Linked DNA regions of Sus scrofa. Each later gene encodes a partner of the first gene's protein in a complex. Links are inferred from orthologs where the notes say so. Each region holds a gene or a part of one and is shown on either strand. Other genes may lie near its edges.

The links.
Region 2: MED13 (region 1) and MED8 share a complex: the UniProt entries of both Homo sapiens proteins name them as parts of the mediator complex. The link is inferred for Sus scrofa from reciprocal best matches to the Homo sapiens genes MED13 and MED8.

The regions. Positions count from the first base shown.
Region 1 is NC_010454.4:36,413,666-36,417,317, forward strand, and holds part of MED13 (mediator of RNA polymerase II transcription subunit 13), read left to right. Parts: coding exon 1-165; intron 166-1,512; coding exon 1,513-1,704; intron 1,705-1,920; coding exon 1,921-2,144; intron 2,145-3,652. UniProt on the Homo sapiens protein: Component of the Mediator complex, a coactivator involved in the regulated transcription of nearly all RNA polymerase II-dependent genes.
Region 2 is NC_010448.4:167,859,901-167,863,652, forward strand, and holds the start of MED8 (mediator of RNA polymerase II transcription subunit 8), read left to right. Parts: upstream 1-1,462; 5' UTR 1,463-1,493; coding exon 1,494-1,571; exon of another isoform or gene 1,572-1,633; coding exon of another isoform or gene 1,634-1,639; intron 1,640-3,120; coding exon 3,121-3,239; intron 3,240-3,752. Other genes in the region: protein SZT2, read right to left, coding at 1,291-1,317. UniProt on the Homo sapiens protein: Component of the Mediator complex, a coactivator involved in the regulated transcription of nearly all RNA polymerase II-dependent genes.

The DNA of each region.
Region 1 (3,652 bases):
ACTTATCCACCTGCAATTGTTGTTTATATAATTGATCCTTTTACATATGAAAATAAAGATGAGAGCACTAATTCTTCCAATGTGTGGACTTTGGGGTTACTTCGATGCTTTCTGGAAATGGTCCAGACTCTTCCTCCTCATATTAAGAGTACTGTTTCTGTACAGGTAAGAATGATAAATGTTAAGTTAAATTTATATAAAACATTTTAATGTTGACAGAAATTTCAAAGCTACTATTCTGTATCCATATTGATTTTGTAAAAGTTAGGTTCTATTGATTTTTACTTTAAGTGATACTATAATACAGAAATCTTAAAGAGTTTATAAAAGAACCTTGTGATCATACCGCAGTAATAATAGAGAACAAAAAGATTGCTTTGAGTACATTGTATGTTTCTCCGTGTTACTTTTTTAAACTAATTTTTAAATTCATAAGCTTAATTAGGAAAATTAAGAACAGACATGGAGTTCTCTTGTGACTCTGGGTAAGGATCTGGCATTGTCACTGCAGCAGCTTGTGTTGCTGCTGTGGCATAAGTTTGATCTCTGGCGAGGGAAATTCCACATGCCACAGGGGCATGGCCAAAATAAATAGAAAATTAAATTTAAAAAAAGGGACTCACAAGCTAGGGTACTAGATAAGATAGTTTGCAGGAAAAGTAGAGAGAAATTAGCCATATTGTTTGCAGAGAATTTGAATTTTTCTTATAGACCATAATAGTACTAGTCAATGGCAGTATTAAACAGTATAACTACTATGTAGAAATGTTTTAAAGATTTTTATATATTCCATTAGTAAAGTTGACTGTTTATTAAAAATCTATATCATAGGAGTTCCCATTGTGGTTCAGCAGTAACAAACCTGACTAGTATTCATGAGGACACAGGTTTAATCCCTGGCCCCTCTCAATGGGTTAAGGATTCAGTATTGCTGTGAGCTGTGGTATATGTTGCAGATATAGCTTAGATTTGGCATTGCTGTGGCTGTGGCATAGGCTGGCAGCTGCAGCTCTGATTCGACCCCTAACCTGGGAATGTCCATATGCCGCAGGTGTGACCCTAAAAAACAAACAATATCTATATAATAGATAAGAAAATATAATTCATTAGATTATCATCCTAAATTTAGTTTAAATTTCTTTTCTTTTTTCTTTTTTTTTGCCTTTTAGGGCTGCACCTGAGGCATATGGAAGCTCTTAGGATAGGGGTTGAATCGGAGCTACAGCTAGAGCTGCTGGCCTACACCACACACAGCCACAGCAATGCCAGATCCAAGCCATGTTGCAGCCTACACCACAGCTCACAGCAATGCCGGATCCCCGACCCACTGAGCAAAGCCAGAAATTGAACCCGCATCTTCATGGATACTAGTCAGATTTGTTTCTGCTGCACCACAACGGGAACTCCCTAGTTTAAATTTCATACTAAAAGTGTTAGAGTTTTAGACATATAGTTCTTTTAATTCTCTTGTTGAAAGCTTAACATTTGTAATATTTGTTTATAACTCTTCAGATTGTTCCTTGTCAGTACCTGTTGCAACCTGTGAAGCATGAAGATAGACAAATCTATACCCAGCATTTAAAATCCCTAGCTTTTTCGGCCTTTACTCAGTGTCGGAGACCACTTCCAACATCAACCAATGTGAAAACATTGACTGGTTTTGGTCCAGGTTTAGCCATGGAAACTGCTCTTAAAAGTCCTGATGTAAGTATGTTTTCCATGACCAAAGTTATTGAATGACTACATTTTATGTTTTTATGCCAAACTAAATGCAGGTCTCTGTTTAGCTCTCATTTTTCAGTTATCTTACACACACACACTCTCTCTCTGTGTTTGTGTTTGTGTGTGTGTGTGTATCTTCAATAAAATTTTTTTCTATGATTATATAGTGCCATAGTAACTTAATTTTTTATTTTACAGAGACCAGAGTGTATTCGACTTTATACACCTCCTTTTATTCTGGCTCCAGTGAAAGATAAACAGACAGAACTAGGAGAAACATTTGGAGAAGCTGGACAGAAATATAATGTACTTTTTGTGGGCTACTGTTTGTCACATGATCAAAGATGGATTCTTGCATCTTGCACAGATCTATATGGAGAACTTTTAGAAACTTGTATTATTAACATTGATGTCCCAAATAGGTACTTTTATTTCCTTATATGTATCATTTAAAATGTAAAAAAATTCATTTTTAAAGAATAGAAAATGGCTTATGGTGTTCTCTTGTGGCACAGTGGGTTTAAGGATCTGGCGTTGTCACTGTAGCGGCTTGGGTCACTGCTGTTGCACAGGTTCAGTCCCTGACCCAGGAACTTCCATATGCCACGGGTGCAATGAAAAAAAATTATAATAATAATTTGATTAATTTCTATTATGTAGACAAAAAAAGATTAAAGTCCCTAAATTCTATGCTATAAACCTTGAGGTAATGATTTTAGCCTAACAAATTTTGAAACATGAAACTATAAAGTCCTCTGCAAATTAAAATCTAGTAAAGTATTTTCAAATATTTGCTTTCTTATATACCATCAAAAATATAGTCCCTAATGAACAGAATGTCTTGCTTCACTAAAATGTTGGAGTATATTCTGAAAATAGTGGCCTTCTTTGTAGAATTCTTTTTTTTTTTTTTTTGGCCACACTCACGGCATGTGGAAGTTCCTTGGCCACGGATCTAACCTGAGCCATAGCAGTGACCTAAGGCACTGCAGTGACAACGCTAGGTCCATAACCCACTGCACTGTAAGAGAAGTCCATGTAGAATTCTTTTTTGTGTGTGTCTGTAGACATGTTTTTATTTGTCTTGTGTGATAACAGAGAAATTGTTATATCCTATGGGAAGTGCATGACTAATTTTTAAAAAACTGCCAAATTGTCTTCCAAATTGGCTGAACCACTTTGCATTCCTATCAGCAATGAATGACAGATGCTGTTAGCCAATATCTTTACCAGAACTTGGTGTAGAATTCTTCTTGATAGTAGTTAGATATGACCAGTTATTCATGAAGGCTGTAACTGATAGTTCACAACAGGTGAGCCTTATATTAAGTTGTCACTTGGTAGACACTTCTAACAACATATTTCAAGGCTAACAAACACTGCCTAAGGGAACTTGGAAAGTCCATGAAGTAACTTTTAATTTTCAGATTTGGTTCTAGTCTTTATTTTCTTCATTATATGATGTTCTGTTTTTTTAAGTTTAGAAGTTGGTTATATGCAAAAATATTTAATGATTATATTAGATTATAGTGGTGCTGAAGAAACAGTATAGAAACATTGATTTTATGTTACTGGTTATAAAGATTTATTGACTATCTTAGAAACCTTAAGGCAGTATTTCATACCTTATTTCCTTGATATAGTTTTGATTTTTTAAAAAATGGGATAGTTGTGCTAATTAAGTGAGCTCTGGAGAGAGTAATAAGCTTATCTGTGAAGGATGAGAAAGAATTGAAAAAGAATAATACCACCTTTCTAATACAAGACAAATTGCTGTTTTACTGAAAGTAGGAATGAGATGATGGTTAAGACATACAGCTCTCAGAGTTCCCGTTGTGGCGCAGTGGTTAACGAATCCGACTAGGAACCATGAGGTTGCGGGTTTGGTCCCTGCCCTTGCTAAGTGGGTTAAGGATCCGGCGTTGCCGTG
Region 2 (3,752 bases), on another chromosome or scaffold:
GTCCTCTCATTTTAATCCATAACAAAACATACTCCACATTCCTTCATGGATTTTTCTTATTACTGCTATTTCTGATGCATAGGCTACTCCGCCATTGATTCTTTTAAATAGGGTAGTTTCCTACAACCACGTTTAATCCTGGGTCTTGTTACATCACATGCCAAGGATCAGGAGATTTACCATCCTGTGGCAACTGTACTGCTTATACTGGAAACATTATGACCACCATACTACAGCAGACCACCTGTTTGGGAGTCTTAGCTCCGCTACTTAACTAGCTGTGTAACTTTGTTACCCTTAACATTTTGTGCCTCCGTCTCCTCAACTGAAAAATGGGGATAAATAATCACGTCTGCTTCTTCGGGTTGAGGGTATCAACTGATGGGGTAAAGCAGGACGACGCGGCACGCATTCGATATGTTATGACAACTCTTTTGTGTCATTTCATTTCACACGTCTCTCACCCTTCCCGTCTATCATATTCTAATACTGGGCACCTTTCCTGGTGATGTTCTTTTCAAACCAGATCTTCTAACTTCAAAACTTTGCTACTCCCTGGCTGAGGGTAGCACTTGGGTAAGGTACTTAACGTCTCTCACTTTCCAGTGTCTTACATATAAATGAAAGTGGACACAGCCACCTTCCTTGCACAAGTCTGAATAACACAATGCAGATCAAGTTCCTTGCATGGTCCTCAACAACTAAGGGATACCTCATGTGCATTTTCTGGTTTAAAATATGGGATCCTCACAAAACACCCTAAGACAGGTGTTTAAGAAGCAGGAAACAGTCAAGCCTTGCCCGAAGTTGCAGAGATGGCTACAGGGCAGCACCAAACGAAGTGAACGACGTTTCACTCCGAATCAAAAAAGAATCTATATATGTATTTTCCCCACGAAACCGAAGCTGCCTTTCAAAATCATGGCGCTGGAACTAAATTAATTCATGCTGATTATGTCATTCTAATACGTGAAGATATGAAGCACCAGCAAAGTAAAATCAAATTGCAAAATCAAAATAAAGGCTTTGTTAATACCATTAGGAAGTCGGAGAACCCGAGGGCCCCAGAGTTGGCGACGTGAATGAAATCTGAGCAAACAGAACAGAGCGACGAGCTTCTCCTCCAGCCCCCCAAGGAAAGTGCGGACCGCGGGGTGAGGAGATGCAACTGCCGGGCCTTCGGGGCGACCCCCGCCGCCCCCAGACCCGGAGGAGGCCACGGCCGCACCCGGCCGCCGGCCCCTCCCCCGCGGATCTCGGGGACCAGCGCTGCGCCCGCCCGCCCCTCACCTCCGGCTCCGGGCGCTCCGAGGCCATCACACAGCCCTCCCGCGCCGGCCCGGGCCAGAGAAGCCCTTCTGCTCGTGACCCCTGACCCGGCTGCCTCTCGCCCGAAGGAACCGGAAACGAATGGGAGGATCGAATCCCAACTTTCTGATTGGCTGACTTGGAAACCGGAAAAGGAAGTGGTTGACGCAACCTCTGCTCCCGCGATGCAGGTGAGGACCGGGTTGGCGCTCGTGACCGCTACTCAGCGTCGGGGTACCGGGACGGAGAGTGGGCTGGAGAAAGTGAGGAGCTGGAGCTGAGAGGAGTGGGTAGAGTCATCGGCCGACGGCTAAAGGGACGCGGGATGGAGGCGAGGCCCACTGGAGAGGGAGCGGCACTGATGACAGATGGGGGTGGAGCCCGGCTGGGAGACCGAGACGGCCCCTGAGTTGGGAGGGGGAAGGCGGCACCGACTTGCTGGGGGTGGGAAAGGGTCGGTCGTTTGGGAAGGTTAAGATGCAGTCCAACGAAGACAGCTCAAGAAGGTGCCGCATTGGCTCAGGTCCCGGCCCGGGCTGTTGAATGGCCGCTGTTGGCTGCCGACACAGCAGAGGATCGATAACTGGAGAGAAGCCCGAGAGTGGAAGGAATTGTGGGGCCGCAGTGACAAAAGCCAAACTAATATAGTCTGAGGCCAGTGGCTGGAACCCGGAATCAAGGCTACTGTCTTGTATATTGGCGAGTTCGCAAGGCAGTTCTACCTCCTTCCTAGCCTGTGCCCTGTGGTAGTTAAGGATGAAATGAAGTAAAGATGAAGAACCAAGATGGACAGGAAATGCTTGGCAGACAACCCCTCACCAGCATTTAAAATAGTTTAGTACTTAGGGGCATGTGCATTTTTGTTTTTGTTTTTCATTTGTCAGTTTCTTGCACCTGGTAGTCTGTCAGTAAATTTTTATAGCTTGACTAAGCTTGTGAAAGGGGCACAGGAATTTTGGCACAGAGATAAAATGAGTGCAGGTTAATGGAGTTCCTGTCGTGGCTCAGTGGTTAACGAATCCAACTAGGAACCATGAGATTGCGAGTTCGATTCCTGGCCTCGCTCAGTGGGTTAAGGATCCGGCGTTGCCATGAGCTGTGGTGTAGGTTGCAGATGAGTCTCGGATCTGGCGTTGCTGTGGCTCTGGCGCAGGCCAGTGGCTACAGCTCCTATTAGACCCCTAGCCTGGGAACCTCCATATGCCACAGGAGCAGCCCTAGAAAAGGCAAAAAGACCAAAAAAAAAAAAAAAAAAAAAAAAGAGTGCCGGTTAATTCAGCAAAGAGCTTGAAACAGCAAATGCTGAGGACAGAGGAAAGGGGGAAATGGCCGTGGTGGTGGCAGTGGCAGGTGTTCAAAGGAACCTTCACATGTAGGTAGATTTTTCAGAAATTGTGTCATTGGCAGGAACAGCCAGGCTCCCAAGGCAGGTTTAGGACAGCAGAAGTCAGAGTACCTATGCTGCAGAGTGGCACAAGAGATAATGACCCCGAGGCATTAGGTCTGCTGTGTCTGCTCAGTGAGTGAGAGTATAGTGTATGTGATAGGAAACCAAGCACGGATTAGGGGTGATGAGAGAAAGGAACCAGCAGGTAGGAGGAATTAGGCCAGGCGAGTGGGTTGAAAGGTCTGAGGGTTGGTGCTGTCTATAACCCTGATACCAAAGATAGAAAACAGCCTGGCTCTCCCTGTGCCAGTGAGATCCTGTGTCACATGACTGGTGTTGCGCACTGTCATCCTGGCTTTTCAGCCCGCCTCTGTGGGCACCACCCTCACCCTCATCTGAGTAACATCCTATTCCTGTTGGTGCAGAGGGAGGAGAAGCAGCTTGAGGCATCATTAGATGCACTCCTGAGTCAAGTGGCTGATCTGAAGAACTCACTGGGGAGTTTCATTTACAAGTTGGAGAACGAGTATGACCGGCTGACCTGGTAAGCAATGCCAGGGCAAGCTGGGGAGGGCTCCATGGGTGGGGGGGGCCAGGTCACCAGGTGGATAGGACATTGCCAGTGATGTAAACATTTATCAGTTTGCAAACATCTTTTGATTTAAAAAGAGCTGAGTTTCCCAACGTGTAACACTGAAGTTGGCTTTGGGCCTCCCTGGTAAGGAAGCAGAGAAATGCCCAGTTTTCCAACTCAGGGTCTTTCTAGCTTTTGATTCTCACCCTCTGATGTCTCTGGGAGGAGGTCCTCCCACTTCAGTATTCATATGGGATCTCTTGCCTTGGACGTGGCTGAGTCTTTTAGGTCCAGTCTACTTTGAAAATGTAGATCCTATATTTAGGTCGGAAAGGAGGCTTTTAGCTAGTTTCTGAAGTTTGAGTGATAACAGTGGAGCTATGGTTCCTGTTTTGCCGCTGTTCTCACCCCAGTCAAATACAGCAGCCCCCCTTTATTGGTGGGGGATAAGTTTTAAGACCCCCACTGGGTGCCTCAAACTGA